Linked DNA regions of Xenopus tropicalis. The protein of the gene in region 1 interacts with the protein of each later gene in a biochemical or structural test. Links are inferred from orthologs where the notes say so. Each region holds a gene or a part of one and is shown in the gene's direction. Other genes may lie near its edges. The genes, in order: ube2n, rbx1, otub1, rnf8, rnf4, trim63 and peli1.

Evidence for each region.
Region 2: the proteins of ube2n (region 1) and rbx1 form a complex in vitro, tested with the Homo sapiens proteins (5 studies listed by BioGRID). The link is inferred for Xenopus tropicalis from reciprocal best matches to the Homo sapiens genes UBE2N and RBX1.
Region 3: the proteins of ube2n (region 1) and otub1 form a complex in vitro, tested with the Homo sapiens proteins (6 studies listed by BioGRID and IntAct, with this or other methods). The link is inferred for Xenopus tropicalis from reciprocal best matches to the Homo sapiens genes UBE2N and OTUB1.
Region 4: the proteins of ube2n (region 1) and rnf8 form a complex in vitro, tested with the Homo sapiens proteins (7 studies listed by BioGRID). The link is inferred for Xenopus tropicalis from reciprocal best matches to the Homo sapiens genes UBE2N and RNF8.
Region 5: the proteins of ube2n (region 1) and rnf4 form a complex in vitro, tested with the Homo sapiens proteins (2 studies listed by BioGRID, with this or other methods). The link is inferred for Xenopus tropicalis from reciprocal best matches to the Homo sapiens genes UBE2N and RNF4.
Region 6: the proteins of ube2n (region 1) and trim63 form a complex in vitro, tested with the Homo sapiens proteins (2 studies listed by BioGRID). The link is inferred for Xenopus tropicalis from reciprocal best matches to the Homo sapiens genes UBE2N and TRIM63.
Region 7: the proteins of ube2n (region 1) and peli1 form a complex in vitro, tested with the Homo sapiens proteins (2 studies listed by BioGRID). The link is inferred for Xenopus tropicalis from reciprocal best matches to the Homo sapiens genes UBE2N and PELI1.

What each region holds. Positions count from the first base shown.
Region 1 is NC_030679.2:56,096,211-56,100,811, reverse strand, and holds the start of ube2n (ubiquitin-conjugating enzyme E2 N), read left to right. Parts: upstream 1-1,544; 5' UTR 1,545-1,562; coding exon 1,563-1,592; intron 1,593-4,601. UniProt on the Homo sapiens protein: The UBE2V1-UBE2N and UBE2V2-UBE2N heterodimers catalyze the synthesis of non-canonical 'Lys-63'-linked polyubiquitin chains. This type of polyubiquitination does not lead to protein degradation by the proteasome.
Region 2 is NC_030680.2:115,969,901-115,973,878, reverse strand, and holds the start of rbx1 (E3 ubiquitin-protein ligase RBX1), read left to right. Parts: upstream 1-1,178; 5' UTR 1,179-1,187; coding exon 1,188-1,301; intron 1,302-3,597; coding exon 3,598-3,676; intron 3,677-3,840; coding exon 3,841-3,911; intron 3,912-3,978. UniProt on the Homo sapiens protein: E3 ubiquitin ligase component of multiple cullin-RING-based E3 ubiquitin-protein ligase (CRLs) complexes which mediate the ubiquitination and subsequent proteasomal degradation of target proteins, including proteins involved in cell cycle progression, signal transduction, transcription and transcription-coupled nucleotide excision repair.
Region 3 is NC_030680.2:36,045,847-36,050,569, reverse strand, and holds the start of otub1 (ubiquitin thioesterase OTUB1), read left to right. Parts: upstream 1-1,497; 5' UTR 1,498-1,568; coding exon 1,569-1,614; intron 1,615-4,723. UniProt on the Homo sapiens protein: Hydrolase that can specifically remove 'Lys-48'-linked conjugated ubiquitin from proteins and plays an important regulatory role at the level of protein turnover by preventing degradation.
Region 4 is NC_030681.2:2,800,859-2,805,696, forward strand, and holds the start of rnf8 (E3 ubiquitin-protein ligase RNF8), read left to right. Parts: upstream 1-1,708; 5' UTR 1,709-1,786; coding exon 1,787-1,873; intron 1,874-3,081; coding exon 3,082-3,210; intron 3,211-4,067; coding exon 4,068-4,126; coding exon of another isoform or gene 4,127-4,705; coding exon 4,706-4,754; intron 4,755-4,838. UniProt on the Homo sapiens protein: E3 ubiquitin-protein ligase that plays a key role in DNA damage signaling via 2 distinct roles: by mediating the 'Lys-63'-linked ubiquitination of histones H2A and H2AX and promoting the recruitment of DNA repair proteins at double-strand breaks (DSBs) sites, and by catalyzing 'Lys-48'-linked ubiquitination to remove target proteins from DNA damage sites.
Region 5 is NC_030677.2:21,724,555-21,728,638, forward strand, and holds part of rnf4 (E3 ubiquitin-protein ligase RNF4), read left to right. Parts: intron 1-598; exon of another isoform or gene 599-676; intron 677-2,082; coding exon 2,083-2,197; intron 2,198-3,402; coding exon 3,403-3,494; intron 3,495-4,084. UniProt on the Homo sapiens protein: E3 ubiquitin-protein ligase which binds polysumoylated chains covalently attached to proteins and mediates 'Lys-6'-, 'Lys-11'-, 'Lys-48'- and 'Lys-63'-linked polyubiquitination of those substrates and their subsequent targeting to the proteasome for degradation.
Region 6 is NC_030678.2:76,882,137-76,885,000, reverse strand, and holds part of trim63 (E3 ubiquitin-protein ligase TRIM63), read left to right. Parts: intron 1-898; coding exon 899-921; intron 922-1,362; coding exon 1,363-1,487; intron 1,488-2,324; coding exon 2,325-2,390; intron 2,391-2,864. UniProt on the Homo sapiens protein: E3 ubiquitin ligase. Mediates the ubiquitination and subsequent proteasomal degradation of CKM, GMEB1 and HIBADH.
Region 7 is NC_030681.2:32,547,015-32,551,613, forward strand, and holds the start of peli1 (E3 ubiquitin-protein ligase pellino homolog 1), read left to right. Parts: upstream 1-1,519; 5' UTR 1,520-1,796; intron 1,797-4,599. UniProt on the Homo sapiens protein: E3 ubiquitin ligase catalyzing the covalent attachment of ubiquitin moieties onto substrate proteins. Involved in the TLR and IL-1 signaling pathways via interaction with the complex containing IRAK kinases and TRAF6.

The sequences.
Region 1 (4,601 bases):
CTGATTGCCGCTCAAAGGTACTAAAGAATGACAAGAAACAAAAATTTCTTTGTGAGCATAAAGTCTGAAAAAATATATTATCTCCTTCAGTAGAAATAGGTACAAATGTAGGTCTGTGATGCAAGGTTAGCGATTAAATTCACTAGGGCACGAGTAACAAATTGAGGCCTGCCAAGTGAAATTTTTAGAATGTTTGTATTTATTTCCTGGTATTTATGCACCAACATATTTCTGAGGCACCTTCTGCTTCATTGGATATTAGGGTAGTGGCACACAGGGAGATTTGTTGTCTGTGGCTAACTTTGGCAACAAATCTCCTTAAAATGCTTTCCCACTGGCAATAAAATGAATCTTTGGTGGGAAAGCACACATGGCTTGAGCACTATCTGCAAGGAGTTAGTATGTTCCCAGAGAATGTACCCGCCTTCCAGCCCGCTTCAACATGGCACCCGCAGGGTGGTATTGGGCCTGTAATGATGTCTGATGTGTGTCACACCAAAAACATACAGGCAAGTTAATTGGTTACTCATTTTACTGACCATAATGTGATAGGGACCTTAGACTGTAAGGGCAGTGGCACACAGGGAGATTAGCCGCCTGCAGTTAAAGTCAGATCGCTGGTGGGAAAGCACACACGTCACTTTGTTTTCCAGTCATGCAATGTTTTCTGCACAAGAAACTTTGGCCAATGTAGTGCTGCATATTCCTTTCCACCAATAAGTCACTTTATTGCCAGTGGGAAAGCATTTTAGGGAGTAGGCAGTTAACTTATCTATATGTTTTTGGTGTGTGAGATGGAACTGGACTAGCCAGAGCTACTCCAGACACAGAAAGAACATACCAACTCCTTGCATGCTCAAACTGGTTTTGAATACAGGATCCCAGCACTGCAAGGCAGTCCACTAAGCCACCATGAATTAAGCTTTTGTTGATGCTGGGGTTTCTGCAAAATGTGTAAACAATTTCTGATAGACTGGCTCTATACACTATTACCCCGACTTCTATTCAAGTAGAGTCTTATATTCTGTTACCAAAAGAATCAAAACATTTGCTACCTGCCTAACATTACATTCAGAGGGTGTTAATATGAAGTTGCTTTTTTTTCTGCTAATATAATAGTGAAGTCATATGGTTTTATTCAAGGTGTCCTACTTTCAGGCCTTATAGCATAGTCTGACTCCAGTTTCATTTCTTGTCTCGCCAGCTGTATGGGGTGGGGTGAAGCTGAAACCTCATCATGCTAACACGACTGTTCGTTTCTTACGTCTTGTTGGTTTTCAATGTCTTCTATGCTCGCTACAGGCAGTGCATAGAAGACATACTGAAACACTTAAGCATTGTTCCTTGGGCTAAAATGAACATTCTGACTACACACACCAACAAGCGTGATTACATCATTATACATGAGAGGAATAACGAGTCCCGTTACAACTACATCTCCCATGAGCCTGTGGGCTGTCGCAATGACGTCAGCGGAAGCGGATGCCGCGCTCTCACTTGTGCGTGACAGGGGGATCCGGTGGCACGCAGAGAGTTGGAGGCTGCACGCATTATAAGACAGGATGGCCGGGCTGCCTCGCAGGATAATCAAGGTAATTGGCGGCTTGTAGCTAGTGAAGTAGTAGCGATTGCTTTACGTTATGTCTTGGGCTTAGATCAGCGGCATTGATCCGAATGAATGGAGACAAGGCCCGGGAATGTCCCCGCCCTCCAGCCCGCTTCAACATGGCACCCGCCGGGTGGTACTGGGCCTGTAGTGATGTCTGATGGGGTTGAGGGTCCGGGGTCGCTATGTGTGCGCGCCTTGTATAGGAAACCACCCCAACGGGGATATGGGGACAACGTTATTTTTTGTGCTTGAAGTAAAACCTTGTGCCGACCACACCCACGCCATTTGCTTGTAGTCTGTTAGCGTTAAGGCTACATAAGGGTACAGATATGGGGGGGGGGGTATATAGGAATGAGTTACACTGTAGCACATAGGGTGACTCCCCCAGACACTGCATGCCATTACTAATACGTGTGCTTAGTGTTTAGGAGCTATATCGCATTTTACTGCATCAATTGACGGCAGAGGTGTCGGCAGTAGACCATTTTATATATAGGTAGGCTATTGATTAGTAAGGAGGGTATATTTCATCTTGGCTCACTATTTATTGCACCTCATTTAGTTAAATTGGGAGCCAAATAGTTCTGCTTGTCACTGTACCCCAATGTATTCTACATTTTTACATGGCTGTTGGTTGAGCCATGCTAAGGGGGATTTTACCCTTACTAAATACTAGCGCAGAGCTGCTTCTAGGTAAGTGTTACGTTTTTCTGGGGTATCCAGGTGACTTTGGAACAACTCACGAACCACTAATTAATTTAGGATCCTTTAAGCACCATATTATAATTCGTAATTACTGTTCTTCAGTGGCGTTTTCGGTCAGGTAAAGGTTATGGAGACCCAACCTAAGTAGCGTGGACGGGGATTCATTGTGGTTCCCCAACACCTAGATTAAGAATTCTTATTCTAGGTAAACTACTTAATGACACACAGAGCTACTAGTTGCAGCCACAAAGTACCAGAAAATACCCTTCTATAGATAATACTGAGAATTGTCTCTGCTGAAACACATATTGAGAATATTTACTGTTGTCTATTTTGTAGCCACAACAAGTAGCTCCATCTGTCAATGCTCTAAAGAGGCAACCAGGTTCCCTCTTTTGTGGTGTCTCTGCGTAATGTGCAGTCTCTCAGAAGACCTGTTCTTGTCCCAGCAGCTTGTGATAGGTTATATTTTGCCACAGGATTCACTATTAGCTTTTCAGAACTTCAGCCACAACATTTATTTGTGGAACGCATGGCATATACTTTATTCTGAAGTTGCATCATCCCTTTAAGTCAAATAAAGATACAGTTGAATGTCATATGATGTGAGGCACTGAAGGAAGCAGATATCTGTCCTTTAAATCTTCATGCTAAATGGTTGGGTAACTTAGGTTGATAGTATTGCCATTTACAGTGGTTGGGAAATTGGCCTATGAATATCAATATTGGACTAGGTACTGTGCTGAAGCCCAGATTTTACTTAAATTCTAATTAAATATTTTAAATGTTCATTTTTTGGGATGTCTGCCTCTGCTAAGCTCTATCTGCTTCACTTTTTTATGTGAATCAGTGACAACCATCTTCTATATTGTCAGCAGTGTTTCCACATTTCCTGTCTAAATTATATCATATATTATGCAAGATACTTTTAACCAGTATTTGAACCTTTTTTCCAACCTCACATGTATAATTAAATATTTTTGCTGGACTTCTTACATACATCTGATATACAAAGAAAACATTTCGCAAAATACACGGATGAAATGGAAGAAGTTTGTGGCTGGATGTGATGAGATTGAAAAATATAGCACACTCTTGCTTTCAATATAGTAGCTATTTAAGTGCATCGCTGTAACACATGCAGAAAAACTGGCATATAAACCATGCACCAAAGTGGTATATGTAGTTTAATTCAGCAGGAACAGATCACCAGCACTTCCTGTCATGATTCCAGCTTACACCACTTTAATTTCTAAAGCTAATTGCTGGCAACCTGTCAAAATGCTGCACTGAGTGCTGGGAGAGAGATGTTGGTGATGGTGTAGACAGCATCACTAAATAAAATCAAACGGTTAAAATCATTTGGCTTAAAAAGCCCTTAGATGTTTTGTTTTAATGCATATTATCATTTAATGCATATTTGTTGTAAAAGTTTTTGGTTTGTTTTGCTGTTGCAGTTAAAATGAAACCGTATTTTACATGTAAAATATTTATTTGAAGCTACACAGCAAATCTGAATCTCACTATGGCTTCCTTGGAGTATTTCTAACATACATAAGATAACATGCAGTGAAATAATGTGCCATCAATTGGGTGTTGACCCTTGGCAACAATATAGATATTGCCTGCATGCATTTTATTTTCCATTCAACGTTTATAAATTGTCTAATGCAATTATCATGATCTTCTGATATGTCTAACATAAGAAAGCTTCAGTTTTCTTATTAGCGAATCAAGTGGAAAGTCTGGTTTGATCTTGTCAAGGATCCATGTTTGTTCCTTGCTATCTGTGGTATTCTCAAAAGTTATTACTAACTCGAGTTCAAAGGCATCAGTACATTTACTGGCCTGCTTCTTTATTTTTCAGTTTTATTCACTATTACATACCATTTTTTCATGATATTTCTTGTCCTGATTTCTATTTCAGTTTATAGCTAGTTCACATGATTTTGCTCTTTTTTTTTTAGTTACCCTACCTGCCTACTGAAGATCTTTCCCACAACCATTCCTTATGGGAAAGATTAAGCCTTTTACTGTGTTGAATATTTATAGAACCTGTTGACAAAATGTAAATGCAGTTAGACCAAGTTGCAATTGTTTGATGTGTCAGAGTTGCATATTGATCATAATCCCTCCACTTTCCACTGAGGACATTCTAATTCAGCAGTCTTGATGAGCGAGCTGTGGAGACTGGTATGAACAACACGGTTCTAATATATGTTTGTTTAAAGAAAAAAAAGTGCGTTTAAAAGATTGCTAGGCATTAACCATTTTTCATTTTGAAAAC
Region 2 (3,978 bases), on another chromosome or scaffold:
TTCATTTTTTGTAGCTTCATTCCACATAAAATAATGTAAATGTTGATTTTGCAGGAGCTGAAATGACAGAAATGATAGATCATATAGGGGTATTTTCATTTTAGGGCCCCTACATTGCACACACTTGTGGAAACCTATACATATTTTGCCTGACGAAGGGTCCTTAGAGCTCCGAAAGCTTGCAATGTTATTTTTATATATAATACTCTTGTATTTTGTTTTTTTTATTATTATTTTTGACACTGGCTAACACAGTACTACAGTTTTAGCTTTGTGATAAATTTTGATAAAAAAACAATAATTTTAGGAAAGCATTGCAACTTCGTAGTTTGGAGTAGACAGACAGTTTTAACCTATTCTCCATTCCTCAGAATCTGTTCTTTCCAAAAATGTATAATTTTCTGGTATAAACCTTCTGAAATGTAGGTGTTAAAATCTTAAGTATGCAAGCTTTCTGGAGCAGTGCTTTGGAAATTTGGTAGGTAGTGTACCGCTGGGAATTTTTGAATCACACAAATGAGAAATCGACATAAAACTATATATATATTTGGTGCTGGCACATTCAGGAGACATGGGACTTTCCGAATCAGTTGTATTTTTGTGCATAAAATCATTTGTTTCTTTTATATGTGTTTATATTACGGAAAACGTGTTGTTGTTTTTTTGTTGTTTTTGTTTTTTTTAATCTTTTAGACATTAAGAAGCCTATATCTTGTTCCAGAATTGGAATCACACAAAAATTCTACCATATTTTGAAATCTTAGGTCGCCCCCCCCCCCAAAAAAAAAAGATATATTGTTTTCCTGTGTAAACTAAAAGTCCCCCCAAGGAAAGGCCCTAAGAGTGCAAAATGTTTCAAAACAGTCTGGCAATACAAGTTCTGCTTTGACCAAATCAGCTGGCAGTGAAAGGGTTAACTGTTCAATACAGAAATATTTTGCTTAACCAGAACACCACAGCCCCTTAGTGAATACGAACAGATGAAAAGGCTAGCTTGCTTAAATCTGTACATTTTACTTCCCTCAAGGAGCATGTGCCTACGCCTTTAAATAAATTCTCTCCAAGCCTGCAGACCGCAGCTCTTCCTCGTTACCGTCTTCCGCCCCCACACACATTACTAACACGCCCCAAACTGTGCGCCTTTAATGCTAATCACATGACCAAGGCATCAGCCCAGCTTTCGGCGCATGCGCCATATAGACCCGGAATTTCCTCTTTTCAAAATGGCAGCCGCAATGGATGTAGACACACCAAGCGGAACGAATAACAGCGCTAGTAAGAAGCGCTTTGAGGTTAAGAAGGTAAGTGTGCTTGCTTGCGTATGTTATGGATGTAGCAAATGATCAGAACAGTCTTTCTAACTAATACTTAAAGAGGGCGACAGTGCAGCAGCTGATACTATTCAGCTAGATTGCTTGCGCCCTAAAGCTTTTTAGATGTTTGATTGACGTGTTTTCCGCCGAATCAAATGTTAAACCCTAATACTTAGGGCGGTCCGTTTTGGCAAAGCGGTGATTTCTGTCGTTCCGGCGGCCCAATAGCGGATAGCTACTGATGCCACAAACGATTGGATGAATTCTAACCAATGTAAGTGCCCCTCTCAGCTGCACTGGGAGGCGGGATCATGTAGCCGCACTTCACGAGTTTGCGGGGGAGCTGTAGGGCCACAGACATTGCGTGGTCTCATTTGCTCATTTGTTTCCCTGGAGGAGGCAGGGAATGTGTCTTGGGCTTTTAGCGGTGTGAGAGCAAGAAACGGGGCTATTTGATAAAAAATAAATTGTTGAACAAGTAAATGTAGGGGTCAAATGACTTGCATTTAGCACATGTAGGGGTATATTAATCATGCTGTGTAAAAAGTGGAGTGAAGCATTATCAGTGGTGTTGAGCTGGGTAACCAATCGGCTATTAGATTTCAACAGTTCTGATTGGCTGCTATAAACTTCATCGGTGATGTTTTACTCCACTTTTTGCACAGCATGATATATATACCCCTACGGTACAGGAGCTGTGAATATGCATTCTCACAGCGTGATGATTTTGCCACCATAGTTCTGCAGGGCATGGTGTGTTTAGCTTACAGTATCAAACATGGTGTATGTGCCATTGTTGGTGTATGTTGCCATTACAGCCTCCTCTCCCTCAGACCCTGCATACCCTATACTTAAAGGAAAACTATACTCCGAAACAATGTAGGTCTCTAAATATGTATTGCATATACAAGCTCATATGTAAAACCCTACTTCATCCAAAAAAGCCATTCTCATATAAATATACTTTTTTTTGTAGTATGTGCCACTGGGTAAGCCTAAATGAAGGCTGGGGCCAACTGGGCTTTTTCCCCAGTGTCCCGTAGCCCAGTCCAACCCTGATTAACAGTGGCTTTCTTTCTTCCACTACTGGGCAGTATTTGTTGTATTTATAGCCTTTCCAATTTCAGCCACAGAGTTGTCATGGGTCTCTTAGTGACCTTCTACATTATTCTTCTCCTTGCACATTCACTCTCTTTTCGTGGATGGCCTGTTCCTGGCAGATTTACAGCTATGCCATACCCTTTCAGTTTCTAAATGATAGATGTAACTGTATGTCCAGTTATAGTTAGAGACTTGGAAATTTTCCTATTTCCATCCCCCAACTTGTGCTTTAAATCACCTTTTTATGGAGTTGCTTAGAGGGTCCTTCTCCCTTCATGTTATAGATCAGTTATCCCCAACCAGTGGCTCATGAGCAACATGTTGCTCACCACCCCCTTTAATGTTGCTTCCAGTGGCCTCAAAACAGGTGTTTATTTCTTAATGTCTAATTTGAAGGCAAGTTTTGTAGGCATAAAGACCATCTGTACTGCCAAATAGTCTCCTTTATTCTGCCAGTTTGCATTGGGCTACCAAATAACCAATCACAGCCCTTATTTGTCACTTTTATCATGATTGTGTTGCTCCCCAACTTTTTATATATTTTTTTTTTTTTAATTTGAGTGAATTAGTGAAAAGTATATGTTTATGGTATAGACACTTTATTTGTTAGAAATAAGCTCCTGATGGAGCTGTTGTATACAGTCTGACCTGAGATTACTGTTAAAAAAAAAAAAAAAAAAAAAAGGGGGGGGGGGGTCATCAAGACGACACTCTTATCCAGCTCTGTGTGAGGCTACATGTTGAGGTAACAGGGTCTGCCAAGCATCTAGGCCAGAGGCAGGCCAAGCCGACCGGGCACCTAGGCAACCTGGTCGGCCACCTTACCCCTGCACCCTCCCATGCATAATACCCACGTGCAGTGAAGGAAATGACAAGTTAGTGCAGACTAGGGGGAGGCAGGAGAGGTACCTGTCTGGCACCCATTATTCCGGCCCTGATCTAGGCACATTGATATTGGTGCCTTCATTGAGCCACATTTGGGCCACGTTTAACCATTCCAGTAAGACTCCAAAGCCATTGTCTGGTAAAACTGGCTAAACTAGTAAATCGAACATACCGGTAATTCTATACACATGAACCAACTTAGAGCAGATTGTGCTAAGTGATTAGATGAGTTTTAAAACATATTTAATTTATTGCCAAAATTTACATCACTTTAACTTTTTTTTCTTTTTTGTTGCAGTGGAATGCAGTTGCCCTTTGGGCCTGGGACATTGTAGTGGACAATTGTGCCATCTGCAGGAACCACATCATGGACTTGTGTAAGTTTCCTTAATTGAACTTTAGCCGATAAAACAACTGTTGTCTGTAAGCAACATTTTAGTTAGTCCCAGTGCTTATATATACATTTATCTTTGAAAAAGTGAATAACCCCTTTGAATGGTACAAATGCAGAAAATAAAAATAATCCTCTTGTATCTTCTAGGCATAGAGTGCCAAGCAAACCAAGCTTCTGCTACTTCTGAGGAATGCACTGTGGCATGGGGTGTGTGTAATGTAAGTAGCTTTGATGGATATTCAGTGACTTAGTATCAAATATATAATATAGTTTTTTTGGAGAAAC
Region 3 (4,723 bases), on another chromosome or scaffold:
AATTACAGAATTCCTGGTTCTTACAAAAGCAACATTTGACTGCAACTCTTCTTCTGTGCCAATCAATCCATTGATATGGGGATTGTGATGCAGTAGCAACCTTTGCAACTATACCCTTGGTTGCTCTTAAAGGGGTGGTTCACTTTTAGTATGTTATTGAACACACCAATAGGCCAGTTCTTAGCAACTTTTCAATTAGTCTTCATTATTTGTGGTTTTTTTTATAGTTCTTTTATTATTTGCCTTCTTCTTCTAACTCTTTGCAGCTTTTAAATGGGGGTCACTGATTCCCTTAGCAAATTATAAGCATCATTCTTAATGACTAGGCTATTAAAACGCCAGCCGGGTAGCAACCCTTCTTTGCTCCACAAGTTCATTGACTAATTCTGTGTAGTTTTCACCAGTTAAATAGTCCACTGACAGTGGAAAAACCTGACTGTGCTTTAAAGGGGAAAACCACCCAAACACAACTTAAGCTTTTTGAAAAGTAAAGATAATTTCAAGGAACTTTGCAATATACACCAATTAAAACGTGCACCAGTTACAGGATTTTTTTTTTATATATTCTTTATTTTTGATTTTTCAGAGAAAATGGGGTACAGAAAAAAAGAAGGGAATAGGGTAAGGACATTTGAAATGATCTGCATTTACAAACAGGTTGTGAGGTCAGGAGTAACAAAAGTTATTACTTTTAATTTTAAATACATTTGAGAAAGAATAGAAGCAAATAAAAGATAAAACATGTCATCAGGGACTTGTTAGTTTTTTAGAGTAGTGGTTCTATAGGGTCTTATGTCAACGGGTTTGTGTATGAAAGTTGTTGATAAATGTTAGCCAGGGTTCCCACCAGTTACAGGATTTTAATGTAATATTGTGGTTTATAACAAAGCCTGGCCCCTGTTGACTTGCTGATCTGACTACTCAAACCAATATAACAGTAACTGACTGTCCTCCTCCTTCAGCCTGCATGCTCCAAATCCCACAATCCCCTGCACACATCAATAAGTGCAATGCATTGTGGGTTATGTATTTCCTGCATGCTATGTGTAAGCTGTGGTGATGTTACAATTTGTAACATCAGTGTTTTAGTCCCTCTTCCCCTGGCAGGATTTTCAAATGATACAGAAAGGGAAGATTGTTTTGCAGCTGGATTTCATTATATAAAAATGGCATTTAGTCATACTTTTTTGAAGAAACAGATTACAGTAATAGGTATATTATATTTTGTGTGTTGTGTGGGGCTCTCTAACAAATCTTAGTTCGGAAGCTGACGTTCCCCTTTAAAGTAAGGAACACTTGGTGACATAGAAAGCTCAGTGAGTATTACAGGAGACTAGTCTAGCACCACATATAACCAATGAAGTATACATAGCACTAAAGGTATTCAACTATCTCGTGCTTAATACAGCCTGCTTAGTATCGCCTGGCTGAGCGCTTTATTCTACTATAAACTAGCGAACAGTTACTATAGGAACCGTCTCATCCGGCGCTGTGCTATGAAATTAGGGAGGGACTTCCGGTTTGTAGTCTCCCGGAAGTGATTGGAGTGGCGGCGGTCGGTTGGAAATATGGCGGCGGAAGAATCTGAGCGGCAGCAGCAAAGTGATTGTGACGGTGAGAGAGTTAGTGGCTGCGGGGTGTACCTGCGTGTTCCTATCGGCTTCTCACAGTATAACGGGGAGTGGGAGGGAGGAGAGAGGTGCGGGTACAGGCTGCAGGGGCACACACAGGGGCACATACAGGGGCACATACAGGGGCCATACACAGGGACACACACAGGGGCCATATACAGGGACACATACAGGGACCATACACAGGGGCCATATACAGGGACCATACACAGGGGCCATATACAGGGACCATACACAGGGGCACATACAGGGGCACACACACAGGGGCCATATACAGGGGCCATATACAGGGACACACACAGGGGCCATACACAGGGGCACACACAGGGACCATATACAGGGACCATATACAGGGACACACATACAGGGACACACACAGGGGCCATACACAGGGGCACACACAGGGGCCATATACAGGGACACACATACAGGGACACACACAGGGGCCATACACAGGGACATATGGACATACACAGGGGCACACACACAGGGGCCATATACAGGGGCCATATACAGGGGCACACACAGGGGCCATATACAGGGGCACACACAGGGGCCATATACAGGGGCACACACAGGGGCCATGGGATTCATATGGAAATGCACAGCCCGCTTGCATTAAAGCTATCTGCTCTGTACGTCTTTACAGGGCTTTGTTTATTTAAGGAAGGAGATATCAGATCTGATATCATGCATTCTCTCCCTGGAGCTGATTAAGTTAATTGTCATCTCAATCTATATATATTTTTTATTAAATGCACCAAGAATGGAGGTACCACTGTGACAGACACATCTGCTGCTATCACCAGAGCTGTCAAGCCCCCCCCTCCACCACTTCTTTGGGAGTCAGACGATTTCTCCAGTCCCCCAGCAGTGTTTTTCCATTTTTGCCGAAGTCCTGAAGTGAATTTGATGCATGCATGTATAGTAAGCGTTCAGTGACGTAAGTTGATGCATTTGTGCGTCTGTGGGGGAATTTTTCAGCTTCAGCAGCGATTTTGCGCATGCCGTCGCTTCGAGAGGCCTGCGTGACGTCCATTATGTCACTTCCAGGTATGGGGGAACATTTTCTGTTCCCCTGGAAAGCCTAGATGTCAGGTTGACAACTCTCTATCCCCCATGTCCAATACAATAATCATAAAGGTGGGCGAGGCAAAAGAATTCCTAGGGATGCTGATTTGTTAGGCGCCTCTCGGTAAGTATAATCGTGCAGCGTGTTCGACCATATTTTGTGCAGAAGCACAAGGGTACCCTAGATGGTAATATTTTTTTTTCAAAGAATATCACTGGGTTGGGGAATTCAGTTACAACAAACCAGCATTCCCTGCTTATTTTTGGTTGGTTCTCCTTAAGGGCAGTGACACATGGAGAGATTAGTTGCCATGATTTTTACCACACTTCCCGTTACACGCACATATATACAAGTTGCCATGTATAGTGGCTACTCGCTCAAAAAGAGTCCAGTGGCTACTTGGACCTTGTGGAAAGGGAACTTTGGCGATTTGTCACCATGATCAGGCTTTTTTCAAAATCTCCCCATGTATCGTTGCCCTTAGGGCAGGGGTGGGCAAACTTCTCGGCTCAGGGGCCACATTGACTTACAGACAGGCCGAGCCAGCGTTACGCCATTTCCGCTCGTCAGTCCTTTGACACCAAGTCTCTCATGACAAGACTTGTGGAGTCAGCGGGCCGGATTAAAAAGACCAATGGGCCGAATGTGGCCCGCGGGCGTAGTTTGCTCCCCCCTGCCTTAGGGTAATGGCACACTGTATACTTTATAGTCCATGTGAAATCGCCTCTCTCACAGACAACAAAGCACCTAAAATAAATTGCATTTGGTAACAGCAAGAATCACTGTCAGGGGCAAATTTGGGACCAATGTCACTCTGAGGCTGCCTTCCCAATGTAGCCTCCCTCACCTCCTCCCCACACACCCTTTTAGCATCAGAGAAACTTAATAAGCCCCTGGTAACCTACTGGGCGCAGCCTCCTGAGGCAAGGAGCACCCTTCATCACCATGGGTGATATGAAATGCGTAACCACATGAAATTGCCCCCTTATGCACTTTGGCTGATTACACAATATATATGTTTTACCTGCGCTAATTCTTGTTTGTGGAAATGGTATTTTTTAAGGACACTTTGTTACCTAACGATGAATGCAATTTACCACAATTTGCCCAGTGTTATATCACCCTTCATTGGGTAGTTCACCATCAGATTAACTTTTTGTTTACAGTGGTATTCTGACACAATTTACATTTTGTCTTCATCTTTTCATTCTTTGTGGATTTGTTTTTTTTTTTTTTTACCCTGGAATTTATTTCTGCCCACCATGCCTGGGCTTAGGCCCTACAGTTCCAGGGCACAAAGAGCCCCTCACAGGGCCCAATATAAAGCACCAGTCTGTTCTCAGACATCTTGCAACTGAAGCTTTAATTCTTTCTGGTTTGCAAACTATTTAACATTTTGTTCCATACCTCTACAGTTTGGGATTTAAATGATCTGGTTGCTAGGGTCATGCTTATACTAGCAGCGAGCAGTGATTTGCAGACTGCAAGATGAAAAGGAGAGTGCCTGAAGAGGAAGTTACAAATATTAATAAAACTCTTGCCTCAAGATTTTTTTTTATAAATTAAAGTTTTTATAAAGTTTTTATTTAGGATTTTAACAACAAAAAAATAACAGTTTAGAGAAAGAAAGCAGGAAGAAGAAAGAGTATAGAGAGTCTTGCCTCAAGATTAATTTGTATTTTTGCCAGGGTGATAGTATTATACATTTCAGACTAGCGAAAAGTATCACTGCCAGTATAACTTTGCTAAACCTTCTTCTTTGTTTCTTTTCTGTTAGTAACTAGTAATTCTATTCATCTTGGTGCACATGTGACCAGTTGTGTGGTTGCAGGGGTGGTGCTTTCTTTGGGCGCCCCCTGCCCTAGGCCCAGCACTGGCTGTACATGTTGTTGTGTGCCTGCCTTTTCCCCCAGCTGGCTAGCACCTAGTGAGTAGGTGAGGAGCCAAAGCAGTTTGCATGGGGCTGCATTTACCGCTCTATAGGATAACCTGAGCAGTTGCTGTTAAAGAAGAAGGGTAG
Region 4 (4,838 bases), on another chromosome or scaffold:
GAGGGAATCCTGGGCTTCTTACAAAACAAGTGCAAAGCATCCTGGGAGCCTTTATTTCAGCCTGAGCAAACCCCATGTGTGCTGACCCGGCTGTCAGGGATTTGGGGGAGTGGATCCGGCTTTGGATAACGGACCTCCAATGTGTATATAGTATGGATTTGGCCCTTCCCCTGCCCCATCACCAGGCTTCTGCCAATGAGACGAGGAGCACAAAGTAACAAGGGGAGGATCTAAGACCCCGAGGCCTCCAGCCTCCTGGGGCAAATCATTGAGGGTCAGCTTGTTGGCGCGGGGGGGGGGGGAAGATGGGGAGAAGGAACCAGGGCACCCATAGTCTTACCCAAACCAGAGGGGGGGGGCAGCTGTAAAGGTTCTACAGGCAGGTAAGTGGCCCTTGGATTCTCACTAAAGAGAGGTTTTGCCCACGAGCCAATAAAAGAAGAGGGATGAGTGGGCAGGGCGGCATTATCATTGGACCACAGTGTCACATGGTGCCACGGTCTCCCGCGGGGGCTACTGATCCAATGCTCGCACCCACTGAGGATGGAAATAAAGGACTGTAACATAAATACCTGGAACTGCCGCAATCACCCCAAGCTGGGGCATATTTATTATAGTGTGTAGGGCAACATCATCGGTAACGTTGCCCATAGCAACCAATCAGATCTTTGCTTTTGTAGGCGACCATTAAATTCTAATTGCTGATTGGTTGCTATAGGCAACATCACTGGTGTCTGCGTTTCATGAGGGGTGGGCGTGTCCTAACGGTCCCTGCCAGAAGCACAGTAGGAGGGGGAGAGCCAATCACAGCCCTGCACTCACACAAGCACAGACAGGCTTCAGTTCCCTATCAGGTCAGCCTAGCTGCTGATTGGTTCCTATCCTACAGTGCCGCCGCCCCCCTGCACAGCCTGGGAAAGGAGGCGGCAGGAAGTGGCACAGATGGGCGGGGCTAGTGGGGTTTTGGTGGAATTTCTCAATAAATCAGCCCTTGCAGAGAGATTTATACTGCTGGAAGAGGCAGCTATCTGGTTGTTAGGGTCCAATTGAATTTAGCAACCAGGCAGTGCTTTGAAGGAGAGACTGGAATATGAATAGGGTCAGAGGCCTAAATAGAAATGTAATAATGAAAAGTAACAATAAAACTGGAGCCTCACAGAGCAATAGGGTTTGGCTGCCGGGGTCAGTGACCCCCATTTGGAAGCTGCAAAGAGTCAGAAGAAGGGAAATAATTACACAAGTAGACAAAAATAAAAACAAAATGAAGACCAATTGAAAATTTGCTAAGAATATACTATTCCGTAACACCCCAAGCTGAACAAACCCAATAACGGGGCGGGAAATGTCGGAATTCTCGCGAGATTACAGTGACGTCGCGCCAAAGCGGCCAATCAGGATCGGCGTCAGCGCAAGAGCTAAAGGGACGGTTTAAACGCAGAATATTGTATTAAACATCACTAATCCGTGAGAGCGGGCGGCGCGGTGTAACGGGAGGGATTCCCGCACCTCATACATACGGTTTATATACAGTTTCTATACGGTTCATAGACGCTCGGAGTGAGGGACGCGGCGCATCACGTGTGCATGACGTCCCCGGAGGCCGAAGCGCCGCTTGGACCCAACAGCGACCCGTACCCAGACCTTACACAGATGGCGCTCGATTGTTCCTGCCTGCGGGCGGCGGGTGAATAACTCGGGCTGCGGTTGGTCGGGGCTGTGCGGATAGGCGGCCGTTGTACATCTCGGTTTATCTGGCTGCTCCGGGGCGAAGGGCCGGGCCCCTGACATGGCGGACGGAGGCCCCGGGATGTGTTGGTACCTGAGGCGCTGCGGGAGGAGCGAGGAGTCGCTGCCATTGCCTGACGGGGAGGAGGTGAGGGCGGGGCCTGTAGCAGCCAAACAGTCCGGGGGGCTTAGGGGAGTTTGGGGGGGCAGGGCTCTTGGAGGAACAGAGAGGGCGCTGTGGGGGGGGGGGGCTGTTCCCTGGGGGGCACTGTGGGGGGGGCTGTTCCGTGGGGGGCACTGTGGGGGGGGCTGTTCCGTGGGGGGGGGGCTGTTCCCTGGGGGCACTGTGGGGGGGCAGTTTCCTGGGGGCACTGTGTGGGGGGGGGCTGTTCCCTGGGGGCACTGTGTGGGGGGGGGGCTGTTCCCTGGGGGCACTGTGTGGGGGGGGGCTGTTCCCTGGGGGCACTGTGTGTGGGGGGGGGCTGTTCCCTGGGGGCACTGTGTGGGGGGGGGGGCTGTTCCCTGGGGGCACTGTGTGGGGGGGGGGCTGTTCCCTGGGGGCACTGTGTGGGGGGGGGGCTGTTCCCTGGGGGCACTGTGGGGGGGCAGTTCCCTGGGGGCACTGTGTGGGGGGGGGGGCTGTTCCCTGGGGGCACTGTGTGGGGGGGGGGCTGTTCCCTGGGGGCACTGTGTGGGGGGGGGGCTGTTCCCTGGGGGCACTGTGGGGGGGCAGTTCCCTGGGGGCACTGTGTGGGGGGGGCTGTTCCCTGGGGGCACTGTGTGGGGGGGGGCTGTTCCCTGGGGGCACTGTGTGGGGGGGGGCTGTTCCCTGGGGGCACTGTGGGGGGGGCAGTTCCCTGGGGGCACTGTGGGGGGGCAGTTCCCTGGGGGCACTGTGGGGGGGGCAGTTCCCTGGGGGCACTGTGGGGGGGCAGTTCCCTGGGGGCACTGTGGGGGGGCAGTTCCCTGGGGGCACTGTGGGGGGGCAGTTCCCTGGGGGCACTGTGGGGGGGCAGTTCCCTGGGGGCACTGTGGGGGGGCAGTTCCCTGGGGGCACTGTGTGGGGGGGGGCTGTTCCCTGGGGGCACTGTGGGGGGGCAGTTCCCTGGGGGCACTGTGGGGGGGCAGTTCCCTGGGGGCACTGGGGGGGGGCAGTTCCCTGGGGGCACTGTGGGGGGGCAGTTTCCTGGGGGCACTGTGGGGGGGGGGGGAGGAAGGTTTGGGGGAGAGACCCTTGGTTGGGGGAAACTTGGGGTGCAGAGAGCATTATGAGTTTGGGTGGGGGAGCCCAGAGAATTGACCCCCCAGTGATTATATCGGTCTGTGCGTCTCATTCATTTCTCTGTTTGTGTTCAGGTCACTATGGGCCGAGGCCTGGGGGTCACCTACCAACTGAAACCCACCCTGTGCCCCCTCATGATCTCCCGCACCCACTGTCTCTTCAAGCAGAACGTCCGGGGCGAGTGGACTGTGACTGATAACAAGGTACCTGCACCCCCAGATACACCCCCTACTGTGTCTGTGAGGGGCTGTTCCTGCTGAATTGTAATTAGTACAGGGGAATCCCTATGTGCCATAGTTTTATGGTATCTCTCTGTACAGGCTATGAGCAAACTTAGGAGGCTGTTCCTGCTGAATTGTGCTTAGTACAGGGGAATCCCTATGTGCCATAGTTTTATGGTATCTCTCTGTACAGGCTATGAGCAAACTTAGGGGGCTGTTCCTGCTGAATTGTGCTTAGTACAGGGGAATCCCTATGTGCCATAGTTTTATGGTATCTCTCTGTACAGGCTATGAGCAAACTTAGGGGGCTGTTCCTGCTGAATTGTGCTTAGTACAGGGGAATCCCTATGTGCCATAGTTTTATGGTATCTCTCTGTACAGGCTATGAGCAAACTTAGGGGGCTGTTCCTGCTGAATTGTGCTTAGTACAGGGGAATACCTATGTGCCATAGTTTTATGGTATCTCTCTGTACAGGCTATGGGCAAACTTAGGGGGCTGTTCCTGCTGAATTGTGCTTAGTACAGGGGAATCCCTATGTGCCATAGTTTTATGGTATCTCTCTGTACAGGCTATGGGCAAACTTAGGGGGCTGTTCCTGCTGAATTGCCCAGGAGTAGTAACCCATAGCGGCCAAGCAGCAATCAATGGACTCTGTATAATTTGTAGGGTTGTGGTTGGGGGGGTGCAGGCTCTGCAGTTGGGCGGGGCTGGGTATGACTGGGCGGGGCTGGGTATGACTGGGCGGGGCTGGGTATGACTGGGCGGGGCTTTGCTTTCCTATTCAGCCCAGTCTGGTGCTTTCATTTCCTGCACTGTTGCAATGTCTCTCCCTTCCCAGAGTCTGAATGGGGTTTGGAGGAACAAGGAGAGACTGGAGCCCCACAAGGCCTACACCCTGAGCGAGGGGGCCCTCATCCAACTGGGGGTGCCCCCACCCAACGCGGAAAGTGCTGAGTTTGAGTACAGGTTGGTCCGGGAGCATCTGGACAAGGTGTCGGGCTCTGTAATGCGGCCGCTGCCCGGCAAGGCCAAAGCCCCGAGGGCCAAGCGCAAATTCACCGCGGAGGAGGCCGACGCCTCGGGAAATGAGGGTCCGTCCAAGTTGTGCCGGGTCTCCAGGGGGGGCGAGGCCTCGACCAAATCCTCCCGCCCCCCTCCCCTGGTCACGCAGCCTACGGTCAGGGCGGGGCCCACGCTCCCTGGGGTGGAGCCTGAACTCAATGACTCTCTGGATGCCGATGCGGTGGCCCCCACCCAGCGCCAGTGCCGCAGCAGCCTGCAGCTCTCCCGGGTCCGGCAAACTATGGAGGAGATCCGCCGGCTGAATGTGCAAGTGCAGGAGAAACAGATGGAGGTGCAGGAGAGGCTGAACTGCCCCCCCGAGAGCCAGCGGGGCCCCAACTGTGTCCTTGCGGTGCAGAAGGAGCTGCAGGAGCTGCGCAACCAACTGAGCAATGAGCAGGAGCAGCATCTGCAGAGCGTGAAGGAACTCAAGCAGATATTCCAGCAGGAACAGCACAACATGGTGAGCCCAAGGCCTCAATGGCTGCCATCACTGGGGCCCCTGACCCGGCCCTTGGGCGGAGAGTCCCCACCCCCTTTTTTTATT
Region 5 (4,084 bases), on another chromosome or scaffold:
CTACCATCAGTTCTTGTGCTGACTTTGATTATGGAGACTAATTGGAATTCGGCAGCAAGTTTTTCAACTTGAGGACATGCCATGTTAGATAGTGTCCAGATACTTTTGGCCATATAGTGTATATGGATGAAATGCACAGAACCTATTCATGATGATATCACAGTGTTCTAAAATATAGCAAGGTTAACAAATCAGTTTGTAGGTTTCCAACCCATGGTTTTAATAACATCTTGGGTTAATTTCTCCAAATTTCAAGAGGACCATAGCAATTCCCAATTGTTTCAGAATTTAATATAGTTAATTGCTAAATACAATGTAGAGCTGGTATGTAAAACATAGTTGGAACTAACCAATCAGAACTGTAACGTGGGCCCCAAGTACAGAACATAAATTAAAAATATTTTAACTTTATTAGCTAAATCCAAGATACTTACAATCTGTTTTGGGGTTAATGGACCTTTAAGGCCGCAACCCTGAGATGGTGTTGGTGTTTGAGAAGCTCTTATTTCCAGGCGATACTTTACTTTTAAGGTGATTTTTTTGGATATTCAATTGTTTGGTGGGTAAGCAAGTGATTTTCGGTTTTGTTTCACTTTAGTGACTTTGCATAGGAAAAAAGTAGAAGATCGTAATTCTGAATAATAAAACGAGTAGAAGGGAGTCTTGCTTATCCAAGGTAACTGAGACTGAAGCATATTAACTAAACAGTCACCTAAAGTCACTATAACAAAAACAAAATATCAAGAGACAACGACATATGCAATGTAAGGCATGGAAGATGTGCTGAAAAGTTGATGAGTGTTTTATATAATGTATTTATATGTATTGCTGCACATGAAAGTATATAATTGACTAGCAAAGGCTAAGCAGAATTCTTGTAAGGTGTTTATGGTATCTCGTGTTAAAAAAAAAAAACCTTTGCTACACACCCAATACTTGTGGTAAATGCAATTATAATAACAGGGCATTTGTGTCAAGTGTGTTTGTACCCATCTTGCAATGTCTGGCTCTGTTGGAGCAGATGCATCATTTATATTATATTTACAATGTGTCCAGCCTCTGTTCCCCTTATAAACATAGGCCTTCTGTTGGGTTATATATATATATATCGTTTTTTTTTCTATAAAATTACTCTAAACAACCCCCAGAATAACATACCTTAGTTCCTGCATTCAGTCTGATCTGGTTTCTGATTTATAAGTTCAAATCTCCAGCTCCTTTCCTCTTCTTCCTGGTACAGTGTGAAGCCCTGCCCCCTCTTCCTGTTCAGCTCTCCTCATCTATTTGACTACAGAATAAGTGTGCAGCAGATTTTTTTCTGTGCCCATACATAACTGCCTGACTCGCTGGGCATTCCCAGAAACCCACCTGAAAACCTTAGACCCTAGGCCCGCTTCCCAAACTAGTTTTCCATATTTCCTCACCCAACCTCCTTTATTCCCATTCAGAAATAGGGAATGACCATGAAACAGGCCAAATGGTCAGGAGCAGGAGGGCCCACCGGGAGTTTTCCTGGAATCCTGGTGGGCCAGTCCAACACTGGAAGGCTCTCCTCTTAGACTACCCTGTAGTTGAAGAGATGAGAAGAGCTAAACAGGAAGAGGGGGCGTGGCTTCACGCTGTTCCAGGAAGAAGAAGAAAGAAGCTGGAGATTTCAACTTATAAATCAGAAATCAGATCAGACTGAATGCAGGAACTAAAGTATGTTATTCTGAGGGTTGTTTAGAGTAATTTTAAAGATGGGGGGGGAAAGTTTACTTCTTCTTTAAGTGCTTTTCTATGCATATCATAGGCAGATACTCAAATGTGCATTTTCTGTGTTATAATTTCTGTCACTCGTGATGGCCAGTTTGAGTAACACAGATAATAGGCTTCAGAGTGCAAATTTCTGCGTAGGTATATAACCCTGTACAATCCCCCCGTGATTTGGATGGATTCTGTTCTGCTAGCCTTGGTCACTACTACCCTGGCCTTGAAGGCAAAGCTGCCTGATTGGCTGTAAGAACAGTTCTTAATTGGGGAGGTCAAAACCCCTCCAACATAAAGCTATGGTTTTTCCCACTGGTTATTTTTCCCCTCCAGGCTCAAAGAAAACGTAAAGGAGCAGAGCCAGGTCACTCAAAGTCGTCCAAGAGAAGGGCGCCAGGTTCCACTGCCGCAATGACAGCGGCGACGGAGCCCATTGAACTGGAAAGTGGTATGTTTTGGCTTTAACTTCAAGTTATTGCAGTGGCTGGAAAAGGCAGGAGGTCATAGAGCCACAGCTTTACAGAAATACTATTGTTGAATTTTGGTGAAAAAAATATATTTTTCTTTAAGGTTCATCCTGACTATGTGTACTGTTGAAACAATATAGCAGTAGTTAGCTTCCCTATTGCCTCTGTGCCTTACACTTACAGGTTGATTAACAATAACAAAGCAAAGCATTGTGGGAATTAGTGTTTCCAGCTGCTACTTTGTTTCAGGGGTGCATGTAGTCTGGATCAGCAGTGCCGGGAATAGCAAAGGACAGACAGATGCTGCTTTCAGTAACAGTTGACTTACTGTAAATACAGATTTCTTAGGCTTTTAAAGTATAATGTAAAATTTGCTTAGAGCAACATTTTTATATCTAGGTGTTTAAAAAATAATTCAGTAGTGTAAGGATCAAAATAGTATCTCTCTGAAGCCGAAAACCTATGGTTTATTTATGGTTTTCATTATGCTAGGTTGCTTTATAAACATGTGAGATGGATATCAGAACTCACAATAGCAACCTTTTACTTATTATAGTATCTTATTCTTGTGCTCTGTGACCATAACACAGGTTAGTCCGGTGGTTCCCACAGGGTTCTCCCCAGTGCCGAGTCGCTGAAACCATTGGGCAAAGTAGTTCTTTTACCTGGGGGGGGGGGGGTTCCTATTACATCAGCCCTTTGTGTGCCTGGGGATGGGCACAGATGGATTGTATAATTCTGCTAATGGCTACTTCCCTATAAATAAAGAACATAATTACCCGGGCTCTGTGCATCCCTAAAACACAAGTGCTTTTATTGATTGATGTTTATTTTGAAATCCTTTTTCCTTGGTGATATTTCAGCAACATTACAGTGGGCTGTGATAGTAAATGGGAGTCACTGATTATGGCACAGAAGCATATTGATACATGCAGCAGAGCAGATGAAATAACCGCACTCATGCACCCACATCTGAACCACTTACCAACCATTCAGTGTCCACCTCCTCTCCATTTAATCTTATAAACTCCATATTTTCAGTTAATCATTAGCAGCTTTAATTGGCTGAGAGTTCTTTGTCACTATGATATATTTCATATATTCCACCTTGTATAGAGTTGAGCCTAGATATATTATCAGTTTTGTGTATTTTTGCCCAGTTATCAAGGTTCCTGTATTTTTGCAGGGGAAGAAGTTGTTGATCTTACGTGTGAATCCACGGAACCAGTCGTTGTCGACTTGACTAACAATGACTTGAGTATCAATGACTCTGTTGTTGTAAGTAAAGTGCATTTTGGGATGGGTGTGTATACTGTGCATGCATGTTTTTTTGTTTTCTGAGTCAATGTATAGTTAAAGGAAAAATATACCCCCAGAATGGAAAGTTAACCAGCAGATAGTGTGTATCATATTAAGTGTTCAATTAAAGAATATTCCAAACTGGAATATATATATCAGTAAATATTGCCTTTTTACATCCTTTCCCTTGAGCCACCATTTAGTGATGGGCTGTGTGCTCCCTCAGAGATCAGCTGACAGGAACTAATGCAGCTTTAACTGTAACAGGAAGTAGTGTGGGAGCAAAGGAAGAACTCTGTCCATTCATTGGCTGATGGGGCCTAGCATGTATGTGTGCCTTGGCTTGTTTGTGTGCACTGTGAATCCTATGATCCCAGGGGGCGGCCCTTAGTACTTAAAATGGCAGTTTTCTATTTAGGATTACCCAATGGCACATACTACTAAAGTATATTTTTATGAAAATGTTTTATTTAGATGAAGCAGGGTTTTACATATGAGCTTTTTCATGGATTCTATTTTTATATGGACCTACATTGTTTGGGGGGTATAGTTTTTCTAGTCCTATTAAA
Region 6 (2,864 bases), on another chromosome or scaffold:
TTTGTAACAGTGAACTATACCTTTAGCTTCATAGTGCACCATTTAAACTTCCGGATTAAAAGATGTATTAAATACAAAAAGCCAAGCAAAAACAGGCATAAAGGAACAGTAACATCATGGCTACACAGCAGCTAACTTATATAAACTATAGTAGTCTTTCTGAGGCAAACACACCAGTTGTAGCAATGCAGGGCAACTGTACATTATATTGTAATTACTTTTATACACTTTCATTTTTTGGTGTTACTGTTCCTTTAAGTGCCACTGCATTTTAAACAGATCTGGCTCTTTTTATGCCAAAAATTTTTGCTGTAAAGGCAACAAAAGAACCTTAGAAATACACGTTATATTTTGTATGACTTTTTTGGCATAAAATATATATTTTTTTAAATATTCTTTATTTTCAAACATATAATATGGGGGATACAGAAGGCAAGAGGGAAGGGGGGTCAAAAAACAAGGGCATAAAATATTTTACTCGTCTTTATAAATAGGCCTTCTATTGTATTTATTCAGGGAAGTTGTCAAGCAGATTAAGCCACAATGCAAACAGTGCCAGCCAATTGGGCAGAATACCCCCTGCATCCAACTTGCAAGAACAGTATATTGCGATGCTGCTCACAGAGTATTAAATGTACCTATGTACCTACCCAGAGTATGTGACACCACAGTTTTAAAAGGTTAATACAGCTTTCAACACAATCAGAGCATAATAGGTCAACACACCCCAAATATAGTGTAAATTAAATCCAGGAAATACAAATTGCCTGTGTCTTATAAATTTATCCTTTAAAAATCCATTTATAGCGGTCTAATTTAGTTTAAACATTTTCTATTTCTTATGTTGTACCTCTCTTATGCTGTGCTAAACCTTTTCTTTTCTGCTGTTTTCCTACAGGAGTCCAAACAGCTTATTAAAAAGTAAGTAACATTCCAGATCCAAAGCATGAAAATCATATGATTGTTACCTACTGCATGAACTGGTGATTCAGCCATATCGAGTTCATAATAAAACAATACCAGTGTGCCTTTTGCTCAGAGAAGCAACTAGTAAAAAAAAATGAAAACATTCAAAGGATCCAGCAGTAAGGAAGGGCTATAGAAAGAAACATGGGGAGGTGACATAAGAGGAAGTTGTAGAATGGCAATTAGTGCAAGGAGTCGTATCAGCAGGTAGCATTTATTTGTCAAATACATGTCTGATGCAAAAGCAAGCATTGCTTTTGATTTGTTGCTATGGGTCATTATACTTGGGCAAATTTTGCCCATTTTTATTTTATTATATTATGTTAGGGATATCTAAGAATGCAGCTGTTCAGAGTGCTGTTCAGCTTATTTAAATGTTAACTCTTGTATTTGCAGGCTAATGGAAGCATCCAAAGGCTGCCAATTGGAGAAGACTGATCATGGATTTGAAAATATGGACCAGTTCACCCTGGATATGGAACATGTCAGCCAGTGTCTGAGAAGCATTGACTTCACTCCAAGTGAGCTGAGAATCATGGTTGGAAAGGATCTTGTTTAATGCAGGATTTGGGGTGACAATAGCATTTGATAATAAGAATATAGTCATCATTGTTTAAAACAAATACAGTCTACAAAGGAATTTTCTTAAAGTAAATCAGTTACAAAAATTATTTCAAGTAATGTAAATTAAATAAAAAAGTAGGACAATTATTTGCTGCTTTCTGTCTTTTTCCAGCTTTCAAATGGGGTTCACTGAAAAAAAGTAAAAAAGAAAAAAAACTATTGCTCTGCGAGGCTGCATTTTTTTTTTGTTATTTCTATCACTATCCATTACATAACTTTCTATTCAGACCCTCACCTATATCTTTATCTTGAAGTCTTAATTTAAGCCACTGCCTGGTTGCTAGGGAAATGGGACAAAAGCAAGCAGATGAAAAATGAAGACCAATTGCAAATTGTCTCAGACAATTGTCACTCATCAAAATATCTGTTCAATCATAGTTAAAGTTTATGTAAAGTTGAACTACCATTACATGCTTTTTATCGAAACCAAAAATAAAGGCACAAAAAAGCAACAGTAAATAAAACACTCACCAAGTAGTAGTAGTATAAATTAAAAAAAATCAAATACTGAAAAAAAATAAAGACAGACTGATTTTGTCATTGGGTTTATTTAACATATCTAGTCAAAAGGTAGATATTTGTCACCATGGAACAAATGTAAAATACACTCTTTCTTTGGTCAGTGATTTTGAGAACCTGTTAGAGGAAACCCATAACTGCATCAAAATAGACTAATGAGAATGCTGTATCAGCCATTTGGGAAGTACTGTACCGCTAAATGTTATTTTTTACAGACTGTGATGAAGATGAGGAAGATGATATAGAGGAATATGAAGAAACTGAAGAAGAAACACTTGAAGGTAAGAACATTTGTCATAGACAAATTTACACATATGTCTCTATAACAAAGGTCATGGTTTATATTGCATCTGCATGAGTCTCATGGTGGTATCCTGCAACTATTATTACAGAGGCACTAATTGCATTAATATTTTAGTTCCCCCTATTTACCAAGGCTTGGTTGCAACCATTATATTAAAAAATCCTGCTCCCCATGAACATTTCATTTTAGCATTTACTATCCAGCCACAAACTATATTTTTAATCCTGAAGTAGCTTTGGCATGACACAGAGATCAAATCATATGGGGGAACATTCATTAAAGTACGAATCTGAATCACGAAATCCAATCATTTCTGATGATTGCAAAAGTTATGAAGATTCAGTTCGTTTGAATACTAAGCTTTCGTAATTACGATCCGAAAGTTCAGAAATTTCCGTATTGAAGCAATCGTTTACAATTGGCGATCCAAAAGTCACAAAATTATCACATC
Region 7 (4,599 bases), on another chromosome or scaffold:
CACACAGGGTCTTTGAAAAAAATCCGACATTTCGAGCACTAACAGTGCTCTTCTTCAAGGACAAACCACACCGAGCACCGTTAGTGCCAGTCCTACACTCACTTTTATCTGATTCATTAAGAATTCTACTGCTTCAATATACTTTAACAAAGGGCTTGAGTTTTACCTACAACTTAAGCTGGCCATGCACACACCGATATTCAGTGCGTGTATTACGGCTCGAAGAGGCGACCGATATCGCAAAAGGCTGTGGATATCAGTCAAGTTGTCAATCGGCCAGGTTAAAAGATTTTGATCAGGCTCCACTGAAGGCGCCCAAGCAAAATCTACAGGGCTGAATCGCCAGGTGGAGGTAGAATTTCTATTGTTTCTACCTCCATATCTGATGATTCAGCCCTGAACGTCAGTGGAGGGTGGGAATGATCTTTGGTTACATGAAAGATCGGAATTGCTACGTGTATGGCCACCTTTACTTGCTTTCAAGGTTAAAACCCCCCAAAAATTGTTGCCCTTTTATTAACCCATTGGGATCACCTGACTAGACTGTAACTAGAAAGGGTGGGAGCTACAAGATGGAGCTGGCCACTGTTCCTGTATTAACTATAGCAAAAAAAAAGGTTGGGCTTACCACTAAATTTTAAACCATTAGGCAGGGGTACAATGAGGCTGTGACCACAAAATTCATGCAGACAAGAGGTCCTCTGCACTCCCATTATCAATATATATAATATATATATATAGGACATTAAGACATCCTGCGAATTAGACTACCAAGATAAGCCTTCCCCTTTAAGCAAAATAGGGATTGTTTGTCCATAAATGTAATACATTCAAGCTGGCCAACTGCATCAAAGTTATCCCTGGTCTGGCCAGTCCTACACTAACTTTTATCTGATTCATTAAGAATACTACTGCTTCAATATACATTTAACAAAGGGGCTGAGTTTTACATGCAACTTGCTTGCTGTCAAGGTTAAGACATTCTGTGCATTAAACTACCAAGATATGCCCTCCCCTTTAAGCAAAGCAGGGGTTGTTTGTCCATATATTGCAATATACTTAAATTGTGGCTATCAAAATTTAGATACTGCTGGAATTTTTACACCACTATATGGTCAGACACCTTGCCACAAGTATTTTGAATTCCCCCTTACTAAATACATTAGTACAGGGCACCAACTTAACCCACATGCCCTAATGTATTGCCTATATGTATCCCTAAATGAATGTTCTTGCTAGTAAATCTGAAATAGTTTGAAATAGTTTTGTGAACAATTATTACTTTACCAGGCAAACTAACCCCTTACCCTTATTTACAGATTCAGGATTAAAATGTTAATAATTCATAGAAATACATTGATTGAGGTAAGCTACTCTGCTGTCCTACACACTATAAAGCAACAACACTCCCTCTGCTGTATTTCCTACAGAGTTATGGCTACACATCCCATAGTTCCTTGCGGCAAACAAGCCGTGCCTCTCCGGCCTTGCTTGCTTACGTCACAGCCTAGCCATTCCTTCGCCTCCCAGCGCCTCACACAAGCGTTGTTGCTGCTGCAATCGCTGCTTCTAGCTGGGAGACAACGGGAACGATCCAGTTATTGTTCGCTAAAGGAAGAGGCGGAGGCGTAGAAGGAAGTGGTCTCCGAGAGGGGATATTCCCAGCTTTTATTCATTACACGGTCACTGCCTGGGGTAAAGGCAAGGTGCTGCTCTGTTCCGCCCTCAGCGCCCAGCTGGGTTTACAAGGAGGCGAAAGGAATACGGAAAATCGTGTGCGGGGGCCCGGTTGCTATGTAAGTCGTGAGAACCTACATCTACCCCCCCCCCCCCCCCCCCCCCCCCGTTTGTGTAGTTGTAATCTGCCTCGGGTGCGCGCCTCGTAACCCAGTGATCGCCACATTGCTATAAAGCTTTACTGCTGGCAAGGAAAGGGTGCGCTAGACCGGGCATGGCCAACCTGCGGCACTCCAGCCTGTGCTGGGGGGAGTGTTCGTCACTATCCCGGGGGCTGCACACACATACACCCTGCCTGGGGGTGGGGGGCTTTGGGAGCTGCAATTCATCAATAGCTGTTTAGCATCAGGTTGGATTTCGCTGTCATCTTTAACCAACTAAATCAGCATGACACCATCCCAGGCCTAATGTACACATTTGTGCGCTAGTTGTGCAGGGATGTCTGTGGTACATCACGTTTAACGTGGTTTAATTGTGAATCATATCCTCTCAGTTGCATGGGAAGCTCATGTACGTCAATTGCCAATTTCCATGGTAGTGAAAGGAGTTGAGTTTTGGTGGAAATGTTGGTCAGATTGTTCTGGTTGCTGCAACTCTCTCTGTCACTTGGACTTGATCTGAGAGGTTATGGCAATAGAGTCATCTAATTATTATCATTTTATCTTACTCATTGGACCATCTGGCTTACAATATGTAGCAGGAGCGAGGCCTAGTTCTTCATAGGTATCTTTTGTATCTGTATCTTTTGAGTATTGTGCTCTAAATTATTCTGACTAAAGCTGGCCATACACGTGACGATCTGACGATGTTTCGTGCGACCATCGGTCGCACGAAACATCGTCAGATCCACCACACACCATTCAGGGCTGAATCGGCAGGTAAGGAGGTAGAAACAATAGGATTTCTACCTCCTTCTGCCGATTCAGCGCTGAAGGGAGATTTTGGTCAGACGCCTTCTATGGCGCCCGATCAAAATGTTCCAACTGGTCCGATCAGCGAGTCGGACGATATCAGCAGCTTCCTGCAATATCGGTCGACTCGCCGACATACCATACACGCACCAAATATCGCACGAAACGAGGTTTCGTACGATATTATCGGTGCGTGTATGGCCACCTTTAGCCAGAAACACCAACATTGCACCCTCTTTTCTTGCCAATTTGGAGAGAAGATCCTGCAAGTTGCAGTGTTGGATGGGCAGCCGTGCACCCTCTTTAATCTAAATGGCCATGCTTTTATTTGGGTCTGAATACTTTTCTCTTTATTTGAATTTTCAGTTTGACTGATTTAAATCTCAAGACAGCTGGATTAGGTGATTTTAGATTTTACACTAGATGAATTGGACACACTTGGTCTGCAGTGTGCACAAGGCCTTAGTATGAAGATTGCTGTTCTGTTGAGCATTTGCTATGCTAGATTGTGGCATTATTTTCCCTTCCACCTTTGGTGAACCCTCCTTGGGTCTTTATATTTGTTTGGCAGCTGTTGCCCCACGCACACTTCCAACCCACACAGACTGCCTGGTGTTTTTCTGAGACTGCTCAACTCCCAGTCTGTTTCTACAAATACCTTTGGTTGTTTACTTGCTTTGTATGCATATACTCTTTATTAACCGATAGCATTATAGTAGCTTTGTGTAATCTGTTCCACATTTCAAGTTTAATTGTATATGACCACATGACAGAGAACATAATATACATGTCATTGTACCATTTTTGGTAGCATAGGAGTTAATATGTAAGGTTGGACATTACGTTTTATAAGAAAGCTGGTTACTATTGATCCTGTTTTAAATATACAGATATGGCTCGAGGCTGTACTGTTTATCGTTTTGTGGTATCTTCCTTTTTGTAATCAAACACAAGGTCCCTTGTCTTGTCCCATTCATGGAGAATCTTAATTCAGTCTTATTTGGCAGCATTGCTTGTCTCTTGTCATACTGATGCCTTGGGTTTTTTTTCCCCCTTTTTAAGCAATTTCCTGTATGCATTCCACCCAGTCATGTCTTTTTTTCATTTCTTCTTTCCCACTCCCCTTGTTAAAATGAGAGCTTCCTCTCTGTTGTTGGAGCCTTCCTGGGCCAGCTGTGTATTATGGCATGGGAGCAGTTCTGTGAGCTTAGTTCATTGTTCTCTCATACAGTTAATCCTCCAAGCGTATTTGTCTGGGCTCATGTACTCATTCTGTTTGTTATTACTGTGTACATGTTGCACACTTAGAGCTCTGGCACGCGGGGAGATTAGTCGCCCGCGACAAAACTCCCTGTTCGCGGGCGACCAACCCCCCCCCCCCCGAACCTCGCGAGTCTTTTTCGCGATTTCTCGAAATAGCGCCGCCGCGTGTGCCATCCCACCGGCGACTTACATTGTCGCCGGTGGGATGGCAGGTGAAGGCAACTCGGGGAGATTAGGCGCCCACGAACAGGGAGATTTGTCGCGGGCGACTAATCTCCCTGTGTGCCAGAGCCCTAAAGGTGGCCATACACGGGCCGATTCTAGCTGCTGATATCGTCCCTTAGACTGATTCGCCCATGTAGGGGCACCAACGACAGGCCTTGCCTGACTGATATCTGGCCTGAAATTGGACAGATATTGATTGGGCAGGTTAAAAAATTTAGTCAGATCAGGGGACCGCATCGGCTCGCCAAACGACCGAATTAGCCTGAATTCGCCCGATATCACCCACCCATAGTAACTGTACTTTTTCCACATACTGTATGTGTTCTACTAAGTTGATTAAATGTCAACATTTGTACAGTCTAGTACAGTGATCCCCCAACCAGTGTCTCGTGAGCAACAGGTTTCTCACCAACCTCTTGGGTGTTGCTCTCAGTGCTCCCAAACCAGGTACTTATTTTTGAAT